Linked DNA regions of Elephas maximus indicus. The protein of the gene in region 1 purifies or fractionates together with the protein of each later gene. This does not show direct contact. Links are inferred from orthologs where the notes say so. Each region holds a gene or a part of one and is shown in the gene's direction. Other genes may lie near its edges. The genes, in order: ATP11A and TMEM30A.

Region 1 (14,775 bases):
AAAGGCCTTGTGGGGTGGCACAAAGGTCATTCCTTGTCAGAAATGGTCAGACTTTGGACAGTTGACCAGTTATGCTCTCAGGTTCCTGGTCTGAAATATTAGGTTGGCACCTTGAATACTGGAGAATTCCTTCCAGCTCTGGGATTCAGTGATGTCCCTACATTTTCATTTACAGGATGAACACGTGTGAAATGCGATTATATTAGGGTCCTCATTCTATTATAGTTATTTGCTATTCATGATTCTTTTTCTAGAATAAGGGGTGTGTTGTGGGGTGGAGGAAGTTATGTTTAAAGACACTCATCCCATTTCTTGGTGTTCTGTTGGGAAATCCAGCTGGAGAGAGATCGTGTTGGCCTTCTATTCATCTAGCTCTGGTTTTGAGTAACCGTAGCTGTTTAAAGGTGTGAAACTTCAGTTCTGACTGGGATTGAGGTTTGAAGCTGATAGAGGAAGCTGGTGGTGATACCTGTACTTTCCAATGACAGAAAAAGAGAGATGAGAAATTGCCTTTTGGTGTCCAGTCTCACTCAGTGGAGCCTTTTACATGTATTATAACCCTGCATTTAGCATTGTTCATGGTGTTTTGAAACACTTTATCAAAGTACCACCAGGGAGGGTTGCTAGAAAGAAGTGTCTGCTCACCACAAGTGCGGGCTCTCCAGTTACCCTGCGTGTCGCACCAGCAGCCCCGGGGGAGGACGCCAACAGACGGGCAGCAGCTGAGACACTTGGAGTCGGAAGTGGACTCCTGACTTGGAGTACCTGTAGTCCCGGGGCGTTTGGCTTTTCAGAAGCAGAGCTGGGTTTTTGTTTTGTTGTTTTAAATTAATTATTTTTAGCAGAACTGTTCTTATCGTTGTTTTTCCACTGCCCTTTGTGAAGAAGTGAGGCCAAATAAGGTGAGCTCAGAATTAGCTCAGAGTTTAGAACACCCGAGGCTAGTGTGCCTCTCAGACAGCTGCTAGATTAGCAGTCCCGGGGACTTACCCCACTGTCTCAGTGTGAACTCAGGATAAACCAGGCTCAGAGCTCTTATCAACCACCTTGGGTACCAGGGGGAGTGAGAAAAGGAAGCCATCAAGATTTGTTAGAAAGATGCCAAATGGTATCTTTTGGTTTTATTTTGCTTATTTCTTATAATTTCTTTGACATAGCAGGTGATGAATCAGCTCTTGGGGTGGTTTTGTTTTTTATATATTCCAGAACATTCTTAGTCCTGCTTGTAAGGGCTGTTCTGGCAATTCTGCGGGCACCTCGGGCAAACTGCATCTGACCATTCACATCCTGGGACTGTGAGCAGCCTTCATCTCCTGTCGGGTCCCTCCCCCTCTGTTAAAAGGTGATTTTCAGAGAAGGGCAAAACAACAACTCCATGCAGATGTAAAAATGAATACCTCCTGAATGATTTTATTTTATTCATGATGAGGACGCCACCAGATATGCTAACTGATTCAAGGGAAAAGCTGAAAGAGCACAAAGGTGCATGGAGTGAAGAAATGTGGAAATGAATGGGCAGATCACCATAAAACTCATGTTTCCACAGGGAGGCGATTATGTGGCTGTGAGAATTATTTTGTGCCCTTATCAGTCACCTGTAACTTAAAGGGAAACCCTGGTGGCGTCTTGGTTAAGTGCTACAGCTGCTAACCAAAAGGTCGGCAGTTCAGATCTGCCAGGCGCTCCTTGGGAACTTTTTGGGGCGGTTCAACCCATAGCGACCCTACAGAACAGAGTAGAAAAAATTTTAGGGTTGCTATGAGTTGGAATCGACTCGATGGCAACGAGTTTGTGTTGTTTTTTTTTAAATAACTTAAAGAGCTGTAAAATAGCTCAAGGGCAGTCACATGGGAAAGGCGTGTTTTATGTACCCAGTGCAGTCTTCCATGGAAACACTCATTTTTCTCTATGCCCTCATGGTCTAATAGTCTTCTGAATGTTGAAGAGACAACACTTTTCCAGTGTGTAAAGTGTATAATGCAAATGGGTATGGTTTTAACTGATTAACTTAGAGTTAGGTTTGGGTGGACAGGAAGAATCTATTCCTGACAGTTTAGGGTTGCATTTGGCCAAAGAACGGTATCGAGGAATGGCCTCCTCTTAAACATATCTAGGGATGTCCCTGGGTGGTGCAAATGGCCAAGCACCTGACTACTAACCAGGGTTGGCTTTTGAATCCACCCAGAGGCACCGTGGAAGAAAGACCTGGCAGTCTACTTCCGAAAGATGGCAGCCACTGAAAGCCCTGTGGAGGCAGATACTTTCAAAGGGTTTATTTGAAAATCTAAATTTTTAATTTATTTCTGTAAAAAGAATTCATCTATTACAAGCATGACAACAGTGTGAACATTTGTTAAATCTGAATAGTTTTTTACTTTCTTTCGTTTCTGTATGTTTGAATTATTTCATAACATTTAAAAAGTCACTGTCTGTCTCTTTAAGTATGAGTGAAAGTGAGTGGAGAACTTTAAGTATTATCAGTGCTGAGAAACTGAGTATACCTACAAACAGTGGCCAGCCCATACGTGACGACAGAACTCTGACCCACATCCTGCAGCAAGCAGCCTGAGAAGCCCAGAGTGATCAGGACTTGGTCAGGACTACCAGCTTTCTCCAATCACGATTAACAGGAAAAGCCAAATATGCCCCCTAAACCAATCATGTAAGAGGCCACACCTGCAGTGAGCCCGCCCCCAGCTTCCCCGTGCCGTCAGCCTCCAATCAGAGCCTTCCTCTTTCTTCTCTCTGAAGCTTTCCAACTCCCTGGCCTGCTACATACCAGCAGTCGTGGCTGACTTTCTTGCAAGCTCTGAAAAAGAATCTGTTTTATTTGGTTTTTTGGGGTGGTTGTCGTTTATTTCCGCAGTGATTAATTTTGAAATCTGTTCTTTACATACTTAAAGAGCATATTTAGAGAACATTGGTGGTTCAGTGGTGGAATTCTCACCTTCCGCCTGGAGACCAGGGCTCAGTTCCCAGCCGGGGCACTTCCCGTGCGGCCACCACGCCTCTGTTGCTGGTGGTTTGCCTGTTAACTGTGATGCTGAACGGGTTTCAGTGGAGCTTCCAGACTAAGACAGACTAGGAAGAAAGGCCTGGCAGCCTACTTCCAAAAATTAGCCGGTGTGAACACTATGAATCACAACGATCGTATCCTCAACCAGTCGTGGGGATGGTGCGGGACCAGGCCTCATTTTGATCCGTTGTGCATGGGGTGGCCATGAGTCTAAGGCAGAGGCAACGGTAGCTAACGGCAACCACAAACATGGGTCCGTCTGTGTAAAGTCACGCGTCGTGCCTGTTGTCCAGCTAACCTCTTTCCCAGTTCCCTGTGTCTCCTCACTGATGCGGTAATCAGCTAACAGCACAGAACAGGTCCCGGATACCTCATTTTAGCCACCAGGATAAAGCACGGAAAAGCACTGGGAATTCTTCAGTGCTGTCAGCTTTGCTGTCTTGTTGGAATTACTGCTTTACTCCTGGGACTCCTTTGTTAATTAGTACTTAATCAGTTGTGGACAAGGCCACATGGCTTGCTTAGATTAGTATTGTCACATGTGTGCTGGTTGACACTGAACTCTGCTTAAAGCATTTTGCTAATTGATGATTTACGACATTTTCATGTTATTAGCCAGGCTTTCGTGGTGGTGGTTATTGGTTGGAGTATTCTCTGTCAAATGTGGAAGTCATACCAACTCAGTCAAATGATCTGTAGGGTGAGGAGTCCCAAGTCCTGGCCTCAAGGGTCAGGAAAAGTAGGAATAATATTTAATGAAGTGCCACAGCACACATTGAAGATGGATCTATAACTTCTGCCACTTGAGCGTTACCTTGCACAGGCAACCCGTTTGTTGGCAGTGGCCTCGAGGAGCTGTGGCCTGGGATTACCCCTCAGCCACCAAATGCGAGCTCTCCTTGCCTGTCAGAAGGACTGCACTGCCAAGCATGTGAACAAAGGTTTTGCATTTTTTAGGATCAATCCCAAATGTCAAAAAATATCTTCAGAATAAAAAAGAATTAAGGGAAGGAGTCCGTGAAGGATGTTCAAACCATGTCAACATGATTTGCAGTGACGTCTCTTGTGGCTCCTGTTTATGGGATTACAGTTATCCTTTCTCCAAACTCCTACCTCCTTCTAGAAAGATGAGTGGGAAGGTAGGCTGTGGTGGATGTCCTGTTTGGTTATGATTTCACTGTAGAAGGGGTGAGATGGGAGAGAAAACCTGTTTGTTAGCCTGTCTGTGCAGTGTGAACCACATCTTTTTATTCTTCACATGGCCTTTCTGTCACTTCCCCCTCCTATTCCCTGTCTCACCTTAGCCCTTCCTCAGAGAGCGGCCTTTCTCCTCCGGCTCCAGACTTGGAATTTTTCCAGCAGTTCCACTCTTTCACCGTTTCGCACCATTGAGAGCGCTGATGCGGGACCAGAAAAAAGACAGAAAAACAAGACAGAGTTCATGCTGTAAAGCCTTTTTTTTGGCCCAAGTTCCAGTTTGAGAGTGAACACTTTGGCTGACGTTTGGTTCAAGACTGGTTACATTAATAAATTACGTAAAAATAATCGGGGCCAGTACATTTGTTTTCATTGCTAGCGTACAAAGAATGAGAATCTGAGAGCTGGAACGATGACAAAGCTCACCTCGTCTAATCCTTTGATCTCACTGCTGATGAGATCTGATGCAGAGATGTTTAGTGACTTGTCCAAAGTCACACAGCACACCAGCAGCGAACCAAGTTTCCTGATTCCCCCACACAGCGCTTCGTTGTTGTGTGCTGCTAAGTCAGTTCTGACTCAGAGCCACCGTAAAGGACAGAGGGGAACTGTGCCATAGGGTTTTCTAGGCTGTAATCTTTACGGGAGCAGATCACCAGGTCTTTCTCCAGCAGAGGCTGCTAACCAAAAGGTTGGCGGTTCAAACCCTCACAGTGGCACAAAACATATAACTCTGTAAATTGACATAACTAAAAACGTCAGAATTACACCAGGCAGTCTCCCGGAATGTGGTTTGTTCTATTTTCTACCTTTTGAGCATTTAACTATAGTCTGCTTAGAATTTGAACAGTTGTGAAGAGAATAACATTGATTTTAAATCACCTTGATTTTGAATCTGAACCCAAAGAAATGTTTCCCACCCATTTAATAAATGTTCTGACCTCAGAAATTATTGCTTTTTCTTCATCTTCTTTGAGTCCTGTAAGGCTAAGCTAAGGAGCCAGAGTAGAAGGGCGGTAATGACTTCACTGATGTTCCAGGGACACTGAGTTTCAGTCCATCGAGTTTTACTCTGTTAATAAAAGCAGGGAGCCTTAAGGAATTCTGGGTTGTGGGCTTCTGTTTTCATACTTCAACGAACAATACAAAGGTGGCTTTCTTGTACAGAGTTCAGCTTTCATTTAATATGCATATAATTCATTCTCAAATTAATTTTTTGTTTTCATGGTCTAAGGAAGCCCTAAGGCATGCTGGTGTGCAGTTAATTTTCTGATCTTGTCACACAGACAGGAATACTAGTTCTTCCTGTTAAGTGGCAGTTGTTTAAAATGACATGTAAATTTTGAGTTTTTGTGTTTGAGTTGTTTAGTGTAATTATTTAATGTTGTTGTTAGGTGCCGTCGAGTTGGTTCTAACTCATAGCAAACCCATGTACAACAGAATGAAACACTGCCAGGTCCTGTGCCACTCTCACGATTGTTGCTCTGTTTGAGCCCGTCGTTGCAGCCACTGTGTCAGTCCGTCTTTTTAAGGGTCTTCCTCTTTTTCGCTGACCCTCTGCTTTACCAAGCATGATGTCCTCCAGGTACTGATCTCTCCTGGCAACATGTCAAAGTATGCGAAGTGTAGTCTCGCCGTCTTTGCTTCTAGGGAGCATACTGGTCATACTTCTTCCAAGACAGGTTTGTTCGTTCTTTTGGTGTATTCAATATTCTTTACCAGCACCACAATTCAAAGGTGTCAGTTCTTATTTAATAATAAACATCTATTATTATTTTTTTTTTTTATTAGACAGCGTCAGGACTATGAGTTGGCCTCAGTAAAGTTCATCCTGTGCCTCCAGAGAGCAGAGGTCATGTTTGTCCTCCGACGGGAAATGGCAGGGAAGCATGGGGCCCTGTGCACAGAGTGAGCACCAGGTGTGACGCCCAGGAGGCTTTCCGGCTTTCAGACAGTCAGCGTGGCGGCTCTTGAGATTCAGCTGCTGTCTGTGAAGCTTAGGAGCAAGGTTTTCAGGATTTTCATTTTTGTATTCAAAGTCATATTTTTATACTTTTCTTTCTTCTTCTGGTCATGTAAAATATATATTTTTTCAATATGACTTTCTGAAGAATCAGAAGCATCAGCTTGGCTGTGTTCCAAGAAAAGAAAAAATCAAAGACCTTTTCTATTAGCTTTCATATGTAGAGGTTTTTAAAGTCATTGCTCTTTATTGACGTTCTCATGACGGGCGGGGAGGAGAGAGGAAAGGCTGCTGTTGGTCAGCGAGATTGTCACTTCAGATGAAGTCAGAGCTTGCTTTGTGCTTTGCCAGAGATGAGGCAGCCTGGCCTTCAGCATCACCAGGAGGGCTCGTACCAGTGCTGACCAGCAGAGGAGGCAGCCTGGCCTACGGCATCACCAGGAGGGCTCGTACCAGTGCTGACCAGCAGAGGAGGCAGCCTGGCCTACGGCATCACCAGGAGGGCTCGTACCAGTGCTGTCCAGCAGAGGAGGCAGCCTGGCCTACGGCATCACCAGGAGGGCTCGTACCAGTGCTGACCAGCAGAGGAGGCAGCCTGGCCTACGGCATCACCAGGAGGGCTCGTACCGGTGCTGTCCAGCAGAGGAGGCAGCCTGGCCTTCGGCATCACCAGGAGGGCTCGTACCGGTGCTGTCCAGCTTGTTTTGAATCTGCTCCCTGCCATCTGGGGCAATAATTACTCTAGAACCTCCAGGCTCCTCTGCACAAGCTGCATCCCACGTTTTTGCAGAGGAAAATGCACGTGGCTCATTTATGGTGCTGAGCCACTCACATCTGACCAGGTAGCTGCTTTGTCTATTTCTGTTCCCAAGGAAACGTGAAGCCTCATCTGCCTGTAACGAGCGCCATTTCGTGTCTGCCGCACATTTCTGGAACGTGATTGGAGTTACAGAGACTAATTTGGTCTTTTTCCTTTAGTTTACACAGAGTCTTATGGCAAAGCTGGGCCCTAATAAAAGGAAACACAGTGCACAGACACACAGGTGGAATTTATTAAAGTAAACGCGCAAACCTTTATGCAGCTGCTATGCATCCTGTGCTGTGGAGGGATACAAATGTCAAAGAGAGTTTTTACCCAGGAAGTTGATCAATGACAATAGTACATGCACACACATGTGCACGCACACACACATGTGCACACACGCGCGCGCACACACACACACACAAAACCAATGGGAGACTTGTAAACACGACATGGAGCAAATAGAAATGCTGGATTGCTTATGTTGCCCCAGCCTCTTGGGCTTCGAATAGTCGGGATTTCTCGAAGCAGCGAAAGGGATGGGCCGTAGTAACGGAAGAAAGGAGGACGCCTAGTACTTCGTTAAAAATCTTTCGGGCTGGTGCTTTGCTGTATGTTTCATTTCTGTTTTCCGACTCCATTCTCTTGGCAACTTTGTGAGTGAGAAGGGCTACCATCACTGCCTCATAGATGACAACGGTAAGGTTCAGAAATACCACCTCGCCTGCGGTTACACAGCTGGTCACTGGCTCAGTGTTGACTGAACCCAGGTCTCTTTGGCTCCTGTGCCAATTCGTCTTTCCTGTTACATAACATTGCCTTTCTTCTCAACTAGGAGTATTTCAGTCTCCTTTTCAGCACTGTTTTATCACACCTCAGAAAAGCTGACGGTTCTCCCAGAAGACCTGGAATGTGGTACCAAGACCACACAATAGGGCTTTTATTCTGAGCCTGCATTCTAGTCTCAGTTCTGTAGCTAAAGTGTTTAGTCACCTCAGAGCTGGGAGCACACTGTCTGGTTGAGTGTTTTTAAAAGATTTTTCTATTCAGAAGATATGTATTTAATGTCTTTTGTACACAAGACTCTCAGTAATACAAAAATGAATCAGACCTGAGTCCTTTTTTCTATCCAGAAAAGCCTTGAGTTAAATAATTCTTAGATTTTGAATTAATGGTTTTACCCCTTGTTTTCAAAAACTTCTAATCATCGTTGTCGTTTCTCTTCGAGAAGCAGTAAGATTTTGCGCTTGTGTTCTGTTTCTCAGTGAACCCACCCTGTCTTAGTTCCACTGACACTCAGCTTTTGAACGTTACCCATGTACCACTTCCTGGAGTACAGACAGCCTGCTCAAATGATCTACTTGAAGATATTTGGCCACTAATTTGAAGAGTTCATATTGTCAGAATTGGCCCCTAAATCTGAAGAATTTAGCTCTCCTTCTGTAGCCCAGAATGATGCTCTAAGCCAGACAATATAGTTTCTGTTAATATGAACAAGCATAAATGAAAGCCAGTGTTTTAGGTAAGAACTTTTTCACCGGAATTATGAGGTGCCTGAGATCATCTTTTGCTTTTTTCCACAGTGTGCTGGAGAAGAGAACTGGGTGGACAGTCGGACCATCTACGTGGGGCACAGGGAGCCGCCTCCAGGCACCGAGGCCTACATCCCGCAACGATACCCGGATAACAGGATCGTCTCTTCCAAGGTGACTTTGTCTTCTGGTCTGGGTGTTTGTTCATTACCTAGAAGAAAGTACTGTGGAGAGTATTAGCAATTTATGACAGCAAACACCAACACTCCTCCTAGCACTGCCCTCATAGCTGCTATTCTACTCTTAGCTAGGGACTTCTGATTAGAACTTTACAAAGGGTTTTTGCATTTGTTATCCTTTTAAGACTTGCCAGCTATCACAACACGTTTCCTTTGATTCTCTGTTAAGTACGTTGTGGACCCAGGGCCACGTTTGAAGTCCAGGACATTGACTTCCTACTGCTGCCACTTATTAGCTGTTTGGCCATGTGCAAGTCATTAACTGCTCTCAGCCAGAATTTCCTCATCTGTAAAATACATACAGTACTGCCACCTTTGACATAACGTGTAAAATTGCTTTGTAAACTCTAAAACTCTCAGTAAATGTAAGAGTTTATCAGGTGCTGCAAGTTTAAAGTGGGAAAAATGTGACTTGAACGTCATCACTTAAATGAAGCGTGTTACTCTTCACTGACTGGAGAATGGAACCGTAGAGGACATGTTTACACAGTTAGAGAACAGCCAGTAAAATAGTCCTTAAGAATAGAATTTAGAGTTAGTTTTTGGCTTTCAAACAAGAAAAGTAAGTGGTGGGTATATTAGTTTCCTGGAGTCCCTGAGGGATGCTTACAGTTAATGTGTTGGGGTGTTAACAGAAAGGTTGGAGGTTTGAGTCCATCCAGAGGCCCATCGGCAATCTACTTCCAAAACATCAGCCATTAAAAATCTTATGAGGGCATGGTTCTACTCTGACACATATGGGGTTCCCACGAGCCAGAATTTCCCTGAGGCTGCCATAAGAAAACCCACAAACTAGGTGACTTACAGGAACAGAGATTTGTTGTCTCACGGTTCTGGAGGCTGGAAGTCCAAATCAGCATGTTGGCTGGGTCAAAGTTTCTTGTCTCTCCCACTCCTGGTAGCCACGAGTGCTCCGTGGATATAGATACATCTTCATAGGGCCGTCCTTTCTCTGTCTCTCTGGTCTCTTGTTTTATGAGGACATCACTCAGATTGGATTAAGACACACCCTGTTCCAGTATGATGACATCTTCAAAGGCCCTATTTCCAAACAAGGTCGTGTTCACAGGTACCGCGGTTAGGACTTCAACATATCTTTTTGGAAGAAACAGTTCAATTCATAACACAAGGCGACATGCTTTCCAGATTATAGAGAACTTTTCCTTTCAGGTGCGCCAGTGAGTGTGTGCGTGAACGTGTGTGCACATGCCTGGCTGTATTAGATATGTGGATCTAACTACACGTACACCTGGTTCCTTTCTGAGTGATCAGAGTGCCCCATGTTGTTAAAAATACTTGACAACGGAAAAGCTTCACTTTCCCAGGCACTTTCTTGATCTACTTGGTGGAATGTGGCTGGAAGCTAAGGATGCTTTATTTATTATAAAAGCCCCTGGTAAAGGTGTTTGGGTGGGGATAACCTACAGCATTGATTTCATATTCCATTCCAGACCCCTTTGTTATCTGAGTCAATTTTTAGAGCCAATTTATAATTTTCATATTTTCCTTTTCAAATATTTGTGCAGACAGTTGCTAACAGTGATTTTAAGACAGGTCTTGCTTTTTACCACGATAAAAACTGCATCATTCTTTTCCTTTGCCTAGAGTATATTTCTGTCCCTGCTGTTGCAGCTCCTTGACCACAGCATCCCTGTATGCACTGTGACAGCTCCTTGACCACAGCGTCCCTGTATGCACTGTGACAGCTCCTTGACCACAGCGTCCCTGTATGCACTGTGACAGCTCCTTGACCACAGCGTCCCTGCGTGTACTGTGACAGCTCCTTGACCACAGGTCCCTGCATGCACTGTGACAGCTCCTTGACCACAGGGTCCCTGCGTGCACTGTGACAGCTGGAAGCATCACTGGTTTCTAATAAGGGAAATCGTATTCCGGGGGATGTGGAAGGATGGGGGTGTTGTTACAGAATTGCTGGTTATCAGAGACCTTTTAGAAAATATTTCTTCTCACTAAGCTCCTTCATACCAGGAAGCTCTAGAATAGGAACAAATAGAATTAAAGTCAACATGCTTTAAGGAGAATAAATTCTAGGAGAGAGTCAGGTGTCCCTGACTGCTGAGCCCACATGTAGGATGGGGTATTAGGTGCTTGAACACCTTCCATCTCAGCCTCAGAAGAAGAAACGGAACCGTGCTCTCAGGTGTGTTTGTGCATCGCATGGTCTTCATTCTTCACAGAGGCTGAGACTGGTGGCTTAATGTCTCAGTTTCTACTAGATTGTGGTAGGTAGTTTCAAAGAAAAATACGCATAATCTGTTGCTAATCAAAGCCAGTAAGGAAAAGGCTCTGAGAAAGGTTAAAGGCTTGGAATCTAAGCTGATAGCTGGGTTGATAGTGGCATTGATAACCTGAAATGGAAATCTAGAGCACATAATTGAGGATTCTTAGAATGTATGAAAAATGGAACTTAATTTATGCAACTGAGTTTACCACCAGTTTTGCAGAACGTGCTTGTGGCACCGTATCTTTGTTTTCTTGAGAATGAAAATTCTATTTCTACCTTTAAAAGAAGACTGCTCAGAAAGGCTTCTTCACCATATCCCTGATATCAAAACCAGGTAAAGACATCACAAAAAAAGAAAATTACAGACCTATATCCCTCATGAACATAGATGCAGAAATCCTCAACAAAATTCTAGCCAATAGAATTCAACAACATATCAAAAAAATAATCCACCACAACCAAGTGGGATTTATACCAGGTATGCAAGGCTGGTTTAATATTAGAAAAACCATTAATGTAATCCACCATATAAATAAAACAAAAGACAAAAACCACATGATCTTATCAATTGATGCAGAAAAGGCATTTGACAAAGTCCAACACCCATTTATGATAAAAACTCTCAGCAAAACAGAAATTGAAGGAAAATTCCTCAACATAATAAAGGGCATGTATACAAAGCCAACAGCCAACATCACTCTAAATGGAGAGCCTGAAAGCATTTCCCTTGAAAACGGGAACCAGACAAGGATGCCATTTATCACCGCTCTTATTCAACATTGTGCTAGAGGTCCTAGCCAGAGCAATTAGGCTAGACAAAGAAATAAAGGGCATCCGGATTGGCAAGGAGGAAGTAAAATTATCTCTAATTCCAGATGACATGATCTTATACACAGAAAACCCTAAGGAATCCTCCAGAAAACTGCTGAAACTAATAGAAGAGTTTGGCAGAGTCTCAGGTTATAAGATAAACATACAAAAATCACTTGGATTCCTCTACATCAACAAAAAGAACATCGAAGAGGAAATCACCAAATCAATACCATTCACAGTAGCCCCTAAGAAGATGAAATACTTAGGAATAAATCTTACCAAAGATGTAAAAGACCTATACAAAGAAAACTACAAAGTACTACTGCAAGAAACTAAAAAGGACCTACTTAAGTGGAAAAACATACCTTGCTCATCGATAGGAAAACTTAACATAGTAAAAATGTCTATTCTACCAAAAGCCATCTATACATACAATGCACTTCTGATCCAAATTCCAATGACATTCTTTGATGTGATGGAGAAACAAATCACCAACTTCATATGGAAGGGAAAGAAGCCTCAGATAAGTAAAGCATTACTGAAAAAGAAGAAGAAAGTGGGAGGCCTCACTCTACCTGATTTTAGAACCTGTTATACAGCCACAGTAGTCAAAACAGCCTGGTACTGGTACAACAACAGGCACATAGACCTGTGGAACAGAATTGAGAACCCAGATATAAATCCATTCACATATGAGCAGCTGATACTTGACAAAGGCCCAGTGTCAGTTAATTGGGGAAAAGATAGTCCTTTTAACAAATGGTGCTGGCATAACTGGATATCCATTTGCAAAAAAATGAAACAGGACCCATACCTCACACCATGCACAAAAACTAATCCAAGTGGATCAAAGACCTGAACATAAAGACTAAAACGATAAAGATCATGGAAGAAAAAATAGGGACAACGTTAGGAGCCCTAATACAAGGCATAAACAGAATAGAAAATATTACCGAAAATGACAAAGAGAAACCAGATAACTGGGAGCTCCTAAAAATCAAACACCTATGCTCATCTAAAGACTTCTCCAAAAGAGTAAAAAGACCACCTACAGACTGGGAAAGAATTTTCATCTATGACATCTCTGACCAGCGCCTGATCTTGAAAATCTATATGATTCTGTTAAAACTCAACCACAAAAAGACAAACAACCCAATCAAGAAGTGGGCAAAGGATATGAACACGCACTTCACTAAAGAAGATATTCAGGCAGCTAACAGATACATGAGAAAATGCTCTCCATCATTAGCCATTAGAGAAATGCAAATTAAAACTACGATGAGATTCCATCTCACTCCAGCAAGGCTGGCATTAATCCAAAAAACACAAAATAATAAATGTTGGAGAGGCTGCAGAGAGATTGGAACTCTTATACACTGCTGGTGGAAATGTAAAATGGTACAACCACTTTGGAAATCTATCTGGCGTTTTCTTAAAAAATTAGAAATAGAACTACCATGCAACCCAGAAATCCCACTCCTCGGAATATACCCTAGAGAAATAAGAGCCTTCACACGAACAGATATATGTACTCCCATGTTTATTGCAGCTCTGTTTACAATAGCAAAAAGCTGGAAGCAACCAAGGTGTCCATCAACGGATGATGGTTAAATAAATTGTGGTATATTCACACAATGGAATACTACGCATCAATAAAGAACAGTGACGAATCTGTGAAACATTTCATAACATGGAGGAACCTGGAAGGCATTATGCTGAGTGAAATTAGAGGCAAAAGGACAAATATTGTATAAGACCACTATTATAAGATCTTGAGAAATAGTATAAACTGAGAAGAACACATACTTTTGTGGTTGCGAGGGAGGGAGGGTGGGAGAGGGTTATTTACTGATTAGTTAGTAGATAAGAACTACTTTAGGTGAAGGGAAGGACAATACTCAATACACGGAAAGTCAGCTCAACTGGACTGGACCAAAAGCAAAGAAGTTTCTGGGATAAATTGAATGCTTCAAAGGTCAGCGGAGCAAGGCGGGGGTTTGGGGACTATGGCTTAAGGGGACTTCTAAGTCAATTGGCAAAATAATACTATTGTGAAAACATTCTCTATCCCACTTTGAAATGTGGTGTCTGGGGTCTTAAATGCTAACAAGCAGCCATCTAAGATGCATCAGTTGGTCTCAACCCACCTGGATCAAAGGAGAATGAAGAACACCAAGGTCACACGATAACTATGAGCCCAAGAGACAGAAAGGGCCACATGAACCAGAGTCTTACATCATCCTGAGACCAGAAGAACTAGATGGTGCCTGGCCACAACCGATGACTGCCCTGACAGGGAGCACAACAGAGAACCCCTGAGGGAGCAGGAGATCAGTGGGATGCAGACCCCAAATTCTCATAAAAAGACCAGACTTAATGGTCTGACTGAGACTAGAGGAATCCTGGCGATCATGGTCCCCAAACCTTCTGTTGGCCCAGGACAGGAACCATTCCCGAAGACAACTCATCAGACATGGAAGGGACTGGACAATGGGTTGGAGAGAGATGCTGATGAAGAGTGAGCTGCTTGGTGGACACTTGAGACTGTGCTGTCATCTCCTGTCTGGAGGGGAGATAGGAGGGTAGAGATGGTTAGAAACTCGCAAAATTGTCACGAAAGGAGAGACTGGAAGGGCTGACTCATTAGGGGGAGAGTAAGTGGGAGTATGGAGTAAGGTGTATATAAGCTTATATGTGACAGACTGACTTGATTTGTAAATGTTCACTTAAAGCTCAATAAAAATTATTTTTAAAAAAAGGCTTCTTAAAGTGGTAATGCTTTCACAGCTCAGAAAGTTTACTTTCATTAAATCATAGGGGTGTAAAAGCATTGTCATGTGAAAAATTATAATTGGGGATAAAGATGCCAATTTAATTATTTTAAACCTCTAACATGTTAGACAGAAGCACATTCATTGGTGATTTAGGAGTAAGCAGACTTTCCTTTTTGGAGGAGATACCTTTGAGT
Region 2 (15,503 bases), on another chromosome or scaffold:
TTACTTAGGGAAAATGCTGTAGATTCATAAATTTGAACAAAAATGTTATAGGTGCCGTGACATTTCTGGTGTTATTTTTGGATATATTATTTTGGGAGTTTTACCCTACCATTGGCAGATTTTTGCTCTTTTAATAGTACAAATGAGCATTTATTTAATCCAGATTTTGTTTTAAAAATACCAAGCATTAGCTTTATCAATATAAGAGGCTTACAGTATGATCATATATTCTTAGGATTTTTGTAGGCTTAGTGGACTTTAAAAAACAAAAGAGTGCATTCAGTAGTTTTGAAAGACATTCTATCTTCACAGCACTCTTAATTTTGTCTTGTTTGAGTTTTATTAATTACACGAAAAGTTTATTATTTTTCACTGAAGCCAAGTGAATTTACTAATATGTACTTGTCTTTTATATGTAATACCCTGCTTCCAGTTCTTTACAGATTATCGAAATTACTTAACAAACAAGACATTCTGTTTCTTCCCAAGTCAACCATGTTTATTAAAATCTCACCAGAGTGAGGAAAAAGGACAATTGTAATATAAAAGCATTGTGAAATATTCTTTTTTGAGTTGAAACACAATCTTCATAAAATTAAAATCATTTAAAATGAGTAGTCAACCTCTCATTTAAAATTGTTTGCTTTAAAATTAACATTTTCTATGAATATAGTCACTTTCATGGTGCATAAGCAGAAGCAGTACAGCAGCTTTGGAGGCCGGTGAAATTAGGTCTCCCTCAAAAAGCCAAGAATCAGGCAGCTTTAGAGTCTGCCAAAATGAGGGATGCCTTTTCTTCTGAGTTACATCATAGTTTATTTAGTAGGATGACAATGACAAGACACCACAAATGAAAACTGGTTAAAGGGTTTCACTCACCCCTTTTCCTTCACCAAACACATTGTCAATGGACATTCAGATATCACCCACACTGCTTCTGCTGTCAATCTACAGGTAGACTTCTTAGCAGAGCAAACATTACTACGTTTTTTCAGCAGTACACAGCCCAGCCTTTGCAGAGCCAATTGGGTAATGGTTCCAGCAAAGTTGGGTGGGGGTATGGGTGGGATTGTGCTCTGATGCCTTCTATTTATCAATTCTGTGGCAGAACTGGTAGGCTCGTAGCTACTTCCAGCCCTAACTTGGTTTTGCCTTATTTGGAACAAAGAAGTGGGTTTTTCCTATTTATTATTTAAAGATAGATCTATCAAAAAATTAGACAAGAAGGCTGTCAAAACCAAGATGTTTTCTGCAGGAGAGTTGCAGGTCAGTGAGCAACTGGGGATCTCAGACACTCCATGGGGTCTCTTACGACAGGCAGTGTACTGTATCTGCTTAAATGGGTTTTTCTCTTGACCACTGTTAGATTAAATGAATCACCTGAGCTGCTTAGTTTGAAAGCTATTGGTCCAATCCCCAGGGGACCGAGACCACGGTCATAAAAATTGCAAAGGAAGGAAATGTCTCCAGTTTTGTTTTCTTTTCATTTCCCATCCACTTGTGCTCCACCAACTAGCTGAGGTCTACTCTCTCAGGAAGAAGAGAGAGGAGAAAATGGATTCTTTGTACCTTCATCCCCTTGAGCTCAGGGATAGAGTCACCCTTAATGAGCAACACGCTCCTCCTCCCTTGGTTAGGGAAACAGAAGCAACTTTCCTGGGCCCTGTGCTTTTTGGCAGTAGGGCACATTGCACCATACATTTTTTTTTTTTTTGAGTGTCATTAAAATCCACTATTGAAATTTGTCTTTAATGATATCCCAAGGAACCTATGAAAGCTATCAACACTGAGGCCTCCCTTCAAATGGATTACCTTGGGCAATACTCACTGACTGAGTTGTCCCAGACATAGCAACCTGATCTGCAGCTATTGTGTTGGAACCCAGGTCCCTGGCCTGCAGTTCCCAGAGAATCAGTCCTCGTTTCTGCTCTCTTCCTCTCTCTCTCTTCAGGTTAACCAGTTGTTCCTTAATCTCCCTTGCATTATCACCAGTATTTCATACATAAAAAATCTTTAAGGAGAATTTTTTTTTTCCTCTTCAGGAGCACTTTCCTATTCCCTACACTTGCCCCATTCTGCTTCTGGCATTTGTGCATAACGGTGTCTCCCAGTTCGACCATAAGCTTCTTAAAGATATGACTTGTATATGCTTCACAGTGAATATAAGACACAGGATAAATGTTTGTAAAATGAAATATAATTCCTACTAGGGAGAGGCCTTTTCCACTCTTCCTTCAGCTGCCATTTCTCCTTTTCCCCAATCTTTACAGATGTTTTTCGTGATCACAACCACATTCTCTTTTTCAGCCTTTCCAGCTCTCAGTACACATTTCTTTCTCCTCCTTGAGAAAAAGCATATGCTTAGTCAAAGTGGTGGGCTATTTATAGGCACTCTTTGACTCCTAACCCCAGAGAGTTGCTCCTTCCAGGGTACTCTCTGCTAGATCTTCCTTACCAAATTATTCTGGCTGCTGCTGCTTCCCTTTCAGAATCCTCTGTATTAAATAAGGCTCTCAACAATCACTTATTCTAAGGGAAGGCATGCTCTCTCCAAAGACAAGGGGCCCTCCTATTATCAGGGTACCGGATGGTCTATGCTATGTTATTCATTTTCCCTTCATCATGAAGCCAAGTATTGGTTCCCACAAGGAGCATTGGTGCAACTAGGTCATATGACATCGACCTTTATAAGTTAACAAACTAAAACCCAGAAATGGAGGGTACCAGAAACCTGTTCCCAGGGCAACTGCAAATTGCTGAGATCTTGCTTGAGAGAAAGAACATGATCACATTCTTTGGATCATGTAGGATACACAGTCTTGCATGGCATTAATATAACTTGCAGCATAAGGCTCATTCTTTATTTTTGATCCTGTTCTCTGCTGGGTAGAGAAATACAATATCATTCAGACCCTAGGACCCATTTCCTCACAGTTTATAGAGCTTGACATCATAAAGAGGATGAGGTGTGGTACCTCCTCTGAGCACCTACCTTGTTCACACATCTTATATGGCACTGACCTCATTATATTTCAATTGTTTGTTGGCAAGTTGTCTCTCCCACTAAAATGTGAGTTCACTGAGAGTAGGTCAGGTCAACAAAATTGAGTATCTTTTATGTTCTAGGCACTTTGCAGGTGTTGGAGAAATAGAAGTGAATAAAAACTGTTCTGACCTTGAGGAGCTTATATCTAATAGGAAAGACAGACGTAAACAGGTATTTTTCAATACTATATGGTAAGTGCAAGGATAGAAGCATATATAAGTTGCCTTGAGCTCAGAGAGCAGCTCTCAGCTCAGCCTGAGGGGACAGAGAAAGTTTCTTCAGTTTGGCTGCTGACCTGAATCTTGAAGGATGAGTGGGAATTAGCAAGGCAGTTTCAGTGGAAGTGGGGTCTGAAGTCAGGGAACAGAGGGTTGCTAAGTGATTGGGTTGAGGAAGTGTAGTTAGCCCAGATTATTCTTTCCAGAAGATTCACTGACAATAAAAACGATGTTGTGGAAGTTTGTTGAACCCCGACCATGTACCTCAAAGTGTGCTGGTCAGAGGGAGGTCATGAGAGGTCTTGGTCTTTGTTGTCACGACTGGTTAGTTCCAGTAACTAAAAAGCATGTTTCACTTCTGAGAATCAACAAAAGTTGACTTCACAATTAAGTCTATTTTGTGAGGGCCATCCTTCAAAAATACGCTGGAGTTATTTTAAGAAAATAGATAAAATCATAGGTAGTAGTGACCCAACTGTTTCAAAAAACAAATAAAATCCCTCCCCTGGGACTCCCAATAATTTAACACTTGGAAAAATAGAAAAATGTAAGTTTAAAGTAAGTATAAAAATAGTCCAAACATACATTCTGTAGAGGATTTACATTTCTTAGACCTACCTTCCAGTATCTCTTGATGATTGTCATAGAATAAGCAAGTATTCTCCTTCACCCTCATGCATTTTAAAAATAATTAATTTCACTATAGTATCTGTAACAGATGTCAGTTGTCTGTCAACCTAAAGATGGCTACATCATATTTGAAGGGAAGACATTATCTATAATTGATGGTACCTACTGGAAACCCTGGCGGTGTAGTGGTTAAGTGCTTCAGCTGCTAACCAAAAGGTTGGCAGTATGAATACACTAGGTGCTCCTTGGAAACCCTATGGGGCGGTTCTACTCTGTCCTATAGGGTTGCTATGAGTGGGAACCTACTTGATGGCAACAGGTTTGGTTTGGTGTTTTAATTGGAAAAATACATGCCACAGGGATGTAATCAACTGAAACATTCTATGGAATGAAAATCTGGTAGTCTGAGGTCTCATTAGAATTATATTCTTTCATTTAACAAAAGTGTAGAATTATGAGAAATGGAACTCTTTTTTCCTCTCAAAACAAAACTCTTAGGTAGTCTTCTATGGAATTTTGGTGTCATTGCTCTTACCTCTAGTGAGACTAACCATTAAAATATCCAGTTTGATTTGTATTTCTGAAACTGACTATGGTTATTCAAAGACTTGCAAAATCTCTCATCACATCACTAATAACTGTAGACTGATCAAACAATCTCTCAGTGTGAGAACAAAAGGATTTTCTTAAACGCCTAGCCAGAAGAGTTCAATAAATATACTACATAAAAATCAGGAAAAGGTCAATTTTAATAGAAGCAATTTTTTAAAATCCGTTTGAATCAATCTCTGATGCAATAAATGCAAAAAATTAATTTTATTATGAAATTCTGTTATCACTCTCCTAAGAATCCTGAGATAATTAAAAACAAATAGCATTTAGTCCCACCAAAGTTCTCCAAGGTAATCTGATTAATTGACTAGAGAAAAAAATTTTTTTTGCTGCAAAAATACACAAGTAAAAATACTATCTAATGACTGAAAGGAAACCCTGGTGGCATAGTGGTTAAGAGTCTGGCTGTTAAACAAAAGGTCAGCAGTTCAAATCCACCAGGTGCTCCTTGGAAACCCTGTGGGGCAGTTGTACTCTGTCCTGTAGCGTCACTATGAGTCGGAATCAACTTGACAGCAACGGGTTTGGTTTTTTTTTTGTAATGATTGAAAACTATTTCCAATCACAAAGAAGTTTCTCTTAAAACTATGGCACTCTTCTCAGCGGTCTTCAACTTCCTTAAGCATCATCATGCTACAGGTAAGAAGTGGTTTGAATATGATTAGAAACTATAAGGACTAAAGTATCACCAATATCACACAACCAACCATCACTGGAGCGTAAAATAGTAAAAAAAGCCAGTTTTAGTTTCCTTTTTTTAGTTCTCCAAGTCATTCAGTAGTTACTTTTCACGGCTTAAGATATCCTATAGTTTTTTCTTAAGGTTCCTGTTTACTTCATTCTGTGGCTTAAACACAGCAATTGAACTAAGAAATGAAAATCTCCAAAAGCTAAATACATATACCTTTTCAGATTGTTGGGTTTGCATCTGTTCTGTCATTTTGGATTTACTTTTATATTGGGGCTCATGCATTCTTTGCACACTTACTGTGGTGACCTGGTAGTGAGAATTAATAAATGCTATTTAGATATAAATTCCACATTTACCAGGAATCAGCAAACCAACAATCATTTAAATAACAGAAATAGAATCTAAATGTATCATTAACACACATACACATGCACATACACACACATCAGTCACTCCTAGCAACCACAGTTTGAAAATGCATATACTGGTAATACATTGTGAGAACGACCATTCTCTTTTCTTGCCCCAGACAACACTTTTTTAAACCCCTACTTCAACTGTAAATGAAAAACTACCTAGTAAGGACTATCATAAAATAATGTGTGACCAAGGGAATCACAAAAATCTGAGTCCCCTGAGATAATGATGTAGAAGTGAAAGAACACGTTAGCTGGGTAAAAAAGCATATTGTGGTGGCAGGGTAGAGTACTGGGAAAGGAACTGGAGGGATATCAAGAGATCTGGGAAAGTAATTTCATCCCTTTGGCCCTCACCTGAAAATGAAAATTTCAGACAAAAGTCTAAGGAAGCTTTCAGTTCTACAAGGCCATGTTTCAGTCAAAATGGAGTTTCTAATAAGAAAGAAAAAGACAAGGAGTTACCTAATCTTTCTTATGAACATACAAAACTAAAGAAAAAGGAAAGCAGATCAATACACCATTATCACTCAAGACAAATACAAAAAGATTGATGAAAAGACCATTTATATGGAATGCTGGAATAGCAAATTGCTTAAGAACTATCACATTTATTGAGTATGATGATACAGGCAGATATGGGGAGAAAAACTTGCCTTATGCTATATAATTTCACATTATGCCCAATATTATTATATGTATTTTTACTAATCAACAGACCTCAGCGAAATAAAAGGACTCCATGCCCTCCCCATCAACTGTGCTGGGTTGTTTTTCATTTGAGCCTGAGGTTGAAGGATCAAATGAAATATAGACCTAAGTATGCTACAGATGGAAACCCTGGTGGTGTAGTGGTTAAGCGCTATGGCTCCTAACCAAAAGGTCAGCAGTTTGAATCCACCAGGTGCTCCTTGGAAACTCTATGCCTTGTATGCATGCGAAAGCTGGACAATGAATAAGAAAGACCAAAGAAGAATTGATGTATCTGAATTACGATGTTGGCAAAGAATAATGGAGATACCATGGACTGCCAGGAGAACAAATAAATCTGTCTTGGAAGACGTACAGCCAGAATGCTCCTTAGAAGCGAGATGGCAAAACTTCATCTCACTTACTTTGGACATGTTATCAGAAGGGACTAATCCCTAGAGAAAGACATACTTGGCAGAGAGGGTTAGTGAAAAAGAGAAAGACCCTCAACAAGATGGTCTGACACAGTGGCTGCAATAATGGGGTCAAGCAGAGCAACAATTGTGAGGACGGTGCAGGAGAGAACAATCTCTCTTCTGGTTATACATGGAGTCGCTGTTAAGTCATGTGAGATCAAGATCAAGCAAGTCAGTAGAGAGCACTAAGCCTTTAAAAAAAAAAAAAAAAGCCTTACATGCCTCCAAAACCTGCCAAATAGATATTTGATTGGCTCACATCTTATGACATGTGGTCATTCAGAAAAAAATTTAAATGCAAACTATGAAGATCAAACACCCTTTAGTTTCCCTTTCCTTTAATTTCCTTTCGAAAGTCTTACCTGTACCTTATTTAAGAAAAAGAAAGTTTGAGCATTTGTTTTCAGATAACGCAATTTCATCTCTGGTCTGATTTCGAAGAAGTCAGTGTAATGTAGATTGTATATACATTAAAAAATTACAAATAATATATGTTTATTACCGAAATTTTGGAAAATACAGAGAAGTGCAAAGATGCAGAGAAACAGAGAAACATTGCCCATCCTGTCAACAGAAGTTACCACTATCTACTTTTTAGTTGGGCTCTATATGTCTATACTACTGTGGTATCCTGATTTATTCACTTTTTATATCCTGAGAATTTCCTTGGGTCATTAAGTACTTGGCAGTTTTAAGGTGTCTGCACAGTATTTCTTTTTATTTCAATGCTACAATTTATTGCAATGTTATACGTTCTGTTGTGCATAGGGTCGCTGTGAGCATGAGACAGCACCTAACAACATACTTTCTTGAGATTTTTTGCTTATTAGGAGTCTAAAAAGAGTTACAGCTTATTAAAAAAGACTCCTTAAATCAATGTGCAAAAGAGAAATGCGGACAGAGTAAGGAAAAAAAGGAAACCCTTGACCAAAAAAACCAAACCCACTGCCTGAGTTCGAGTCCGACTCATAGCGATCCTATGGGACAGAGTAGAACTTCCCAATAGTTTCGAAGGAGCGCCTGGCGGATTCGAACTGCCAACCTCTTGGTTAGCAGCCGTAGTACTTAACCACTACGCCACCAGGAAACCCTCTAAGAGGACCATTAATGGTAGAAAAATAGGTGAAGATAGCTCAATTAGAGGCAAGATAATAAGGTTAACCAAGTCACATTTATTTATTCTTGACTTTAGGACAAAAGGACAACACCTCACGGAACTCGGTCTTCACATTCGCACCGTGAGTGGCGGTTTACTTAGAGGTGACAGTTTTAAAACCTAAAAAAATACTGCTAATCCCACCAGGCTCAAGCTCCCTTGCTGTGATCTTTTTAAATGATCTAACTTCCTTCAGAGAGGGCATCGAGGTAAAAGCAAAAACCTGGCTGGTGCTGAACCCACCAGAAAGACCTCTTTGTTGGCAGTTTCAGGGCCGACGGAGGTGGCTCAGACCGAGCACACGGCTGGCGAACTAGAACGGCTGTCCGTCACCATGATAACCAGAGCCGCTGCCAGGTGTGTACGAACAAAGGCGTCCGGAAGTGAAGCGAAAACACTTCTATGGCGCAAGCGCCCAAGCGTCTTCGCCCTCAGGGCCGCGCATGCGCTAACGTAGCTTCGCGCTCTGTGGGCTGAGGCCCTCACTTTGTCGTCACAGGGCAGATGATCAAGGTGCGTCCGCGTTTTCCCTCCCCCTTCTATCCTCTTCCCCTATCCCCTCCCCTTGTCCCTCAGTCTTCTCCCTCCTTCCTCTCTCTTACCCTGGCGTCCCCAACCGACTCCCGCTTCCGGTCAGCAACAGCCTGCGGAAGGGTGTCCCGCCTCTTCCGCCTCGACAGCGGAGGTGGTGGCAGTGGTGGCGGCGGCAGCGGCGGGGGCAGCGGCGGCGGCGGCGGCTGCGGCGGCGGCGCCTGCGCGTCTTTTGTCAGGGTCAGCAGGCGGGTCCCCTGGGCGATCCCCCTGCGCGTCGCTGAGGCGCGCCTCGCGGGTCGATGGCGATGAACTATAACGCGAAGGATGAAGTGGACGGTGGGCCCCCGGGTGCTCCCGGGGGCGCCGCGAAGAACCGGAGACCGGATAATACGGCCTTCAAACAACAACGGCTGCCCGCCTGGCAACCCATCCTCACGGCGGGCACGGTGCTACCTACCTTCTTCATCATCGGCCTCATCTTCATCCCCATTGGCATCGGCATCTTCGTCACCTCCAACAACATCCGCGAGATCGAGGTGAGGGGAGTGAGCGGCGGCGGGAGTTGGCGCTGCCTGGGGGCCGGCTGCTTGCCGCCTGCCTTACTCTTTCCTCGGCTTTCTAGAGGTGGACAGGCGGGGCCCGCCCTTCCCCACACTTTACCTCTCTTCCTCTATTTTTTCTTTCTCTTTCGGCGAGTTTTCTGAATTTGCAGTTTTTTTCTAGTTTCCTCCTGCTCACGATTTACAGTTAGAGGGTAGGTCAGGTGAAGAAAGCGCCTTCAATGAGCAGTTTGTGTGGTTCTGGGGCGGGGGGGGGGGTGTTGTCCAACGGAGGTAGAAAAGAAAAGTTATATCTAGATGTAAATCCAAGGGAATTGGCATGGTCAGGGTGGGAATTTTTCCAGGAAACGGAGAGGAACATTTTGGCCATTGTGGGGAAAAGGACCCAGAGGCATAGAGGTGTTGATGATTTCTGTGTAACGAAGTTGTCATGTTAACCAGGTCGTGGATTAGGACATACGACTGAAGAATGCACGGCATTTTTTTATTTTGAGCTAATTCGAATGTTTTTAGTTGTAGATAATAAGTAATCTGAAACTTCAATTCTGGTTTTCTTTTTAGACAGCGTTTATTATCATGCTCCACGTTAGTCCTAATTTTCCCTCCTAGATTTTAAACTTTTCAAAAAGCGCCAATGAGCACACTCGGGGGTTAAGTTGTACACTACCGAACATTTTACTGGTATAATGTAATAATTGTGGTCGGCAGTTCGAGTCCATCAGGCGCTCCTTGGAAGCCCAGTGGGGCAGTTCTACTCTGTTCTTACACGGTCGCTGTGAGTCGGAACCGACTCGACGGCAATTTTTTTTTTTAATGTAATTTATGGCTTAACAGAGAGCCTTGTATTGGGGAAACATCTTGATTTCTGTAGGGTAACAGTAACAGTATTTTCACCTGCAGTGGTAAAGGTGGGTTAGCACTAGAATGTAAATACTTTGTATAAACCAAGCCAAACCCCTTATATGGAGTCAATTCCGATTTACAGTGACGTTATATGTGTCCAATATTAAACATCTCATCCTCTTTTTTTGCATGTTTGAGAGTATTTTTTATCTATTTGAAAGGGCAGGGACTGGTACCAAAGTTTCTGAATTCCCTCTTTCTGTTCTATCAGATTTTGTCATTTTTTTTCAGGTTTTATTAAACACTTTAAAATTAACGTATGTGACTTAATGGGGCTTTCAGAGGAATTTTGTTTTCAACTATTGCAGTAGGAATAAAGGTGCTTATTTTCTAGTTTGATTTACAGTGTTAGCACTAAAAGCGAGATCAGTATTTTTTTAATTGTACAGTGCTTCTATGCTAATAACAGTAAGAGGAATAGTATCTATAGCATAACTTAGTTTTTAAATATTTTACTAAAAATTCATTTTTAGTTTAGTAACTAAAGAAAGTCACTATATATATATTTTTGATGTATTTTCATTATCTCCCTAACAGTTCTGCAAATGTAGTACTTTTTATTTTCCTAAGGACAAGGATCACACATTATTTCAAGACATGGGCAAAGGGGTGGAACATAAGGACCATGGGGTTTATTCTGGAGTCAGGCAGAGTTTGATTTTAATTCCTGGCTCAGCCACTAACAAGCTTAGAGCTTCGTTTGGTTGGAAAATTTACTTAATCTCTCTGAAGTCTCAGTTTCCTCATTTGCGAAATAGGTAAAAATTATGCCATCTTGCAAGATACGAAAATTAGAAACGCTGTAGGTAAGATGCCTGAGACTGTTTGTACAGTAGTTACTGTTATTACGATGATCCTTAATCCAATGAGAAGTGGAGCCAGAGGTTGAGATTTGCTGATAAGCCAGTTAAGAGTATTATAAAATTGAGGCATAAACCCATATGCTTTATTTCTAGACTTAAAAGTTTCTCACTACGCTAAGCTGCTTACTACAATGCTAGTAATTAAGTAGGAGAAAAGAATTTCTTAACATGAGAATTTGAATCATCTTATTTAAATTTCTTAAATATTAAGATGAAAGGAGCAATAACTTGGCATTTTATATGAATGGGTATTTACTAGGTTATCAGAACTCAAGTTCTATTAATATTTACTATACTATGAAAATAAATATTTTCTTTAAAACTTTCACATATTGAACTAAAATGTGATTCTTCCTACTAAGTAGTAGGTGAAATTGACATTTCTTAAATAGTTCTCATGTACAATTCTGATTTCAGGTTGCCTGAAGAGGATGTAGCAGCTTGAACACTTAAAACGGCACTCAAGTTAGAGTCAAGGCATTAGAGTTGAAGTCCGAACTCTGTCCCTGTCTAGTATGTGGTCTTAGGTGCATTTTTGGGGTCTCTGTTTCTTTACTTGAAGAGCGAAAAGATTCAGACTAGATGATTTCTCAAATGCTGTTCAGCTCTAAAATTTTGACTTCCAAGTTAAATGTAATTTTTTTAACTCTTCATTTTCAAATTTTATTGCTTTTGGAACCAGAGAACTGAAAATTAGGAATGACTGGGAATTTTACACCAACACTGACATTGAGTTGTGCAAATAGAATCCTTTTTTTTTTTTTTTGAGTGTTAAGTATGTATAGAAAAAAAAAATGTATAGAGTGATTCTAAATTGGATTTGGGGTTATAAGAAGAACCTGGGGAGCTTTTCCAAAACACGCATGTTTCCTCCAGGTCTCTATCCTTTAACCACTAGTTTAGATTAAAATATGTTGAGGGTTATTAAAAGTAGTCGAGTATTGAGAAATTCTTGCCAACATTCACTTCCAGCCTATAAGTTACTCACACCTTTTTAGTTTATTTCTTCATTTTTCAAAATTTTAAGAAACTTCTTTGCTGTATTTATATCAGGTTACTAGGGCAAAGGAGACTTGTCCAATCAAAATGCTTTTGTAACGTATCTTAAAGTTCTAAGATCAGAAATCAAAACTTTTGGTACAAAAATCAGTTGGTTCTTCACCTAACTCCCAGAAGTATTAATACTAAAAAAATTACTACTCTTATAAAGTGCCTTGCATTCCCCCAAAAAAGGTGTAGAAAAAGAGATTTTTTATTTTAATACTTATACTTGGCCATATGCTTCCCTTCCTTGTTAGGTTTATATATGTTTTTTAGTTGGTTTTAGACTTTTTCTGTAACCTAAATAAAATTTGCTTATTAGAAAACTACCATTGTTAATTGTATCATTTATAAGAAAATATTTTAAATATTATCTTCATTTATGATTAGGAGTAAAGAGTGAGTATTTCCTTTAATTTGGCAATTGTAGGTGTCAGGTATATCTTTCTGCTGCAGTGGTGATGTTTTTGTGGTCTAGGGCCATTGTTGGTGAGGCTGAGATATTAATTGATTGAAACTCACTTGAAAAATGTAGGGAGCAAGGTTATTAACTTTTGCAAAGACATTTATCAGTGTGAAGTTATATACATTTAAATTATGATTAGAATAGGATGAGAACATAATCCAGAGTAATATTCAGTTAATTTAAAAACATTTACTTCAAATTAATATTGCCAAAAGTGTTCAAGATGTGCTTTTATGAAACCTAGTAGATTAGCCCTCCACCCCATTTGATTAAGAAGTCGCCGTTCTCTTCTTCATCTTATATCATGTACCTTCCTCAGTTATTTCTTCCTGATTTCTTATATACACTGTTAATTATTTTTATTCCTATATAACTTGGATTCTGTATGCCTCAGGGAGTAAAAATGCTTTGCAGTTGACTTGATGATAAAAACCCAAACCCAGACTTGATGATAGGAACACTAACTTTGAACCCCAGTTATGTGACATTACACCCTGAAATGAAAATTCTTTTATTCTTATTAGTATACTTATATTACAAAATATTTTACTTACTATATTTTGAATTTCATCAATAAAAATTTGTGCAAATTAGTCTCTCTTGTTATATAAGAACCAACATACTTTCAGTCTTGCCCTTTCATCCACAAAGCTGAAAGTATTTACTCTCTGGCACTTTACAGAAAAAAAATTGCCTACCCTTGACTTAGATTTTTAAAGATACATACTGGCAAACTTGGCATTTGTTAGAAAAATAGCTGTGTTTAACTTAAGCTCTAATCATCAGTAACATTCAAGGTAGGTGTAACAATCCCTGGTAGTGGTGTGTGCGCCACCACCATCACCGTATGAGTTTAGTCAGTATAAAATACTTTAGCTAAATTTACCCTTAGTGTCAGCTAAGGTAAGGTTAAGTCGTATAAAATTCAAGCAGACTAAAGAAAGTTGCTATTAAAATTTTTACTTTAGTTAATCTTTTGTCTTCTTTGGAGTCTGTAAAAGGGACTCCTGATAAGTTCTTTAGTGTGAAATAATCAGTTCAAGGGGGTACTTCAAATACCATTTTTAATTTAATCTGATTAATACTTAAAATGATTTACCTTATTACTCAGCATTTTGTTGAGTGACCTCTTTAAATCTTATATTGATTTCCTTTAAGACAGATAGATATACATTCAAAAATGGAAGTTTTCCAGTGTTTCTTTCTATGCAGTGTAAAAAACTGCATGTCCTTCAAATTCCTCCTTTCCCACGGCGTTAAATTCAGAGTCTGTTTCTTAGGAATAGGGTATATTTTTAGAATTGCTAAGGATAAATGCCAGTTTGGTTTAGGGAAACAATTACAGTGGTAGCAAAACAAAGCTGAGAAATATGATCACTCTTAAACTCATCTACTGATCCACATCTGCTATTCTATTTTGCCTCTGGTTCTTTGTCTTTTGGATTTAAGCTAATGGGCAGGTCTCCAACTGTCATTGTATTCTGCATTGTGCCTTACATGCTTTTGACATTTAGTAAACATTAAATTTTAAAGGTAAGGGAACTGTAGCTTCTCTTCCACCTGGTAGCCTCTTTTTAAGATAAATTATGTTAACTTTAGAATAAACTTTGCTTTTTGAAATCTGATAGATTTCTGCACCCAACAGATTTTATTACAATCTGGACATTAAGTCAGGCTAACCTTGAATTTTAGCTGATGAAGAACATAGTTGTTATTTGTGGGTAAAACTCATAAACTGAGTTAAATTTATCAAGAGTTTTAATCAATATTGGGCATTTTCTATTTACAAGGTGATGTTCTGGGCATAGTGGGGGATAGGAAAAAGTTCGAGGACCGGGCCCTTGTTTATTCTCTCTTGTGCTCTCTTTTATCTGTCTTTCTTTTTTAACAGAGAGCCCCTGTTCCTAAGGGACCTGAAATTGGGTGGGGGGAGCAGGGGAAGATGGGACGTACATATAGGAGGAAAACTGAGCATTGCTAGATGATTGACACAGACAATATATCTTGGTAGTTCAAAGGAAGACAAGATCACATATGTCTCTAATGGCCATGGAAAGCTTTGTGGAGCAAGTGAGTTTTGAGTAGTGTTACCCGATTAGGGTCCATGCCCTGGAACCGTCTAGCCAATGGAACATACTCCAGTTCAGAAAGAGTGAGAAAGTTTACTAAGGACATGTATACATCACCGGGGACCTGATAGCAACACAGGCTGTCTCTGTGGAGTCCCAAAGAGCAATTTTACATTACATCTTATATGGAATATTACAAGGGTTAGAAGTGTAGTCTGCAGATGGCCTGGCAGGAGGAGTTATTCATTACAAGATAGTGATGGAAGACTCTTTATCAGACTAAAGAGATACATACTGGACATCTCTTTATCAGGCTAAAGATATACATATCAGATACTTGGGCTCTGATTTACCTGTGGGGGGTTGTAAGTCACAGGTGGTGGGAGGGAACAAAACAAAGTTATTTCCATCAGATTAAAACAAAGAACAGAGTCATTAGCATTAGGTCAAAACAAAAATCATCAACAGAGGTATGTAAAGGAGGAGACAGGCAGGGGAAAAATAAAAACTTATAGGTTCATTATGGCATTAGTTATGTCAAGCTCTCAGTCACCCATTTTGAAATAGGAGAAAACATGCTGGGGAGTATTGGGGTCACAGTAGGATCTTGAAGGATAAATAGCACTTCTAAGAGGACAATTTGGATGCATGCCAATAAAGGAGATTAATATTAGCTAAGTTCTGGTGGCAGGAAATCAAAAGCTATGTAGAGAAAATAGGAGTAAGGGCAAATAAGCTGTGCCAGGTTGTAGATAGTCTTGGCTCTTTGATAATGTATTAAACTGGGGAAGTGATACCAGTGCATATAAGCTAGGATTAGGTTCAGCTATGAGTAATTAAGATTTGTATTTTCACATAAAATCCTTTAGGAAAACAGTATAGGGCTACTATAGAGACTGTTATATTTATTTGTTTTTAAGGCTGTTTTATTGAGATCTCACTGTCTACCTTATTGCCCTGCCATTTTTAGGGATTGGCTCTTGTGTTCACTGTCCAGAATGGAAGCTAGAGTTCCAGCATTAAATCTTTTTTCAGGCAACAGTGTGGAAGAATGAAGAACAAAAGGACAAAGGGGTGTTGCTGTTATTATTAGTTGCTGTCAAGTCGATTCCTACTTATGGTGCCCCCATGT

The links.
Region 2: the proteins of ATP11A (region 1) and TMEM30A purify together in Homo sapiens (co-immunoprecipitation; 4 studies listed by BioGRID and IntAct, with this or other methods). This does not show direct contact. The link is inferred for Elephas maximus indicus from reciprocal best matches to the Homo sapiens genes ATP11A and TMEM30A.

Annotation. Positions count from the first base shown.
Region 1 is NC_064841.1:78,994,531-79,009,305, forward strand, and holds the start of ATP11A (phospholipid-transporting ATPase IH), read left to right. Parts: upstream 1-7,538; 5' UTR 7,539-7,668; coding exon 7,669-7,677; intron 7,678-8,561; coding exon 8,562-8,684; intron 8,685-14,775. UniProt on the Homo sapiens protein: Catalytic component of a P4-ATPase flippase complex which catalyzes the hydrolysis of ATP coupled to the transport of aminophospholipids, phosphatidylserines (PS) and phosphatidylethanolamines (PE), from the outer to the inner leaflet of the plasma membrane.
Region 2 is NC_064819.1:138,654,618-138,670,120, reverse strand, and holds the start of TMEM30A (cell cycle control protein 50A), read left to right. Parts: upstream 1-8,670; 5' UTR 8,671-8,768; coding exon 8,769-9,005; intron 9,006-15,503. UniProt on the Homo sapiens protein: Accessory component of a P4-ATPase flippase complex which catalyzes the hydrolysis of ATP coupled to the transport of aminophospholipids from the outer to the inner leaflet of various membranes and ensures the maintenance of asymmetric distribution of phospholipids.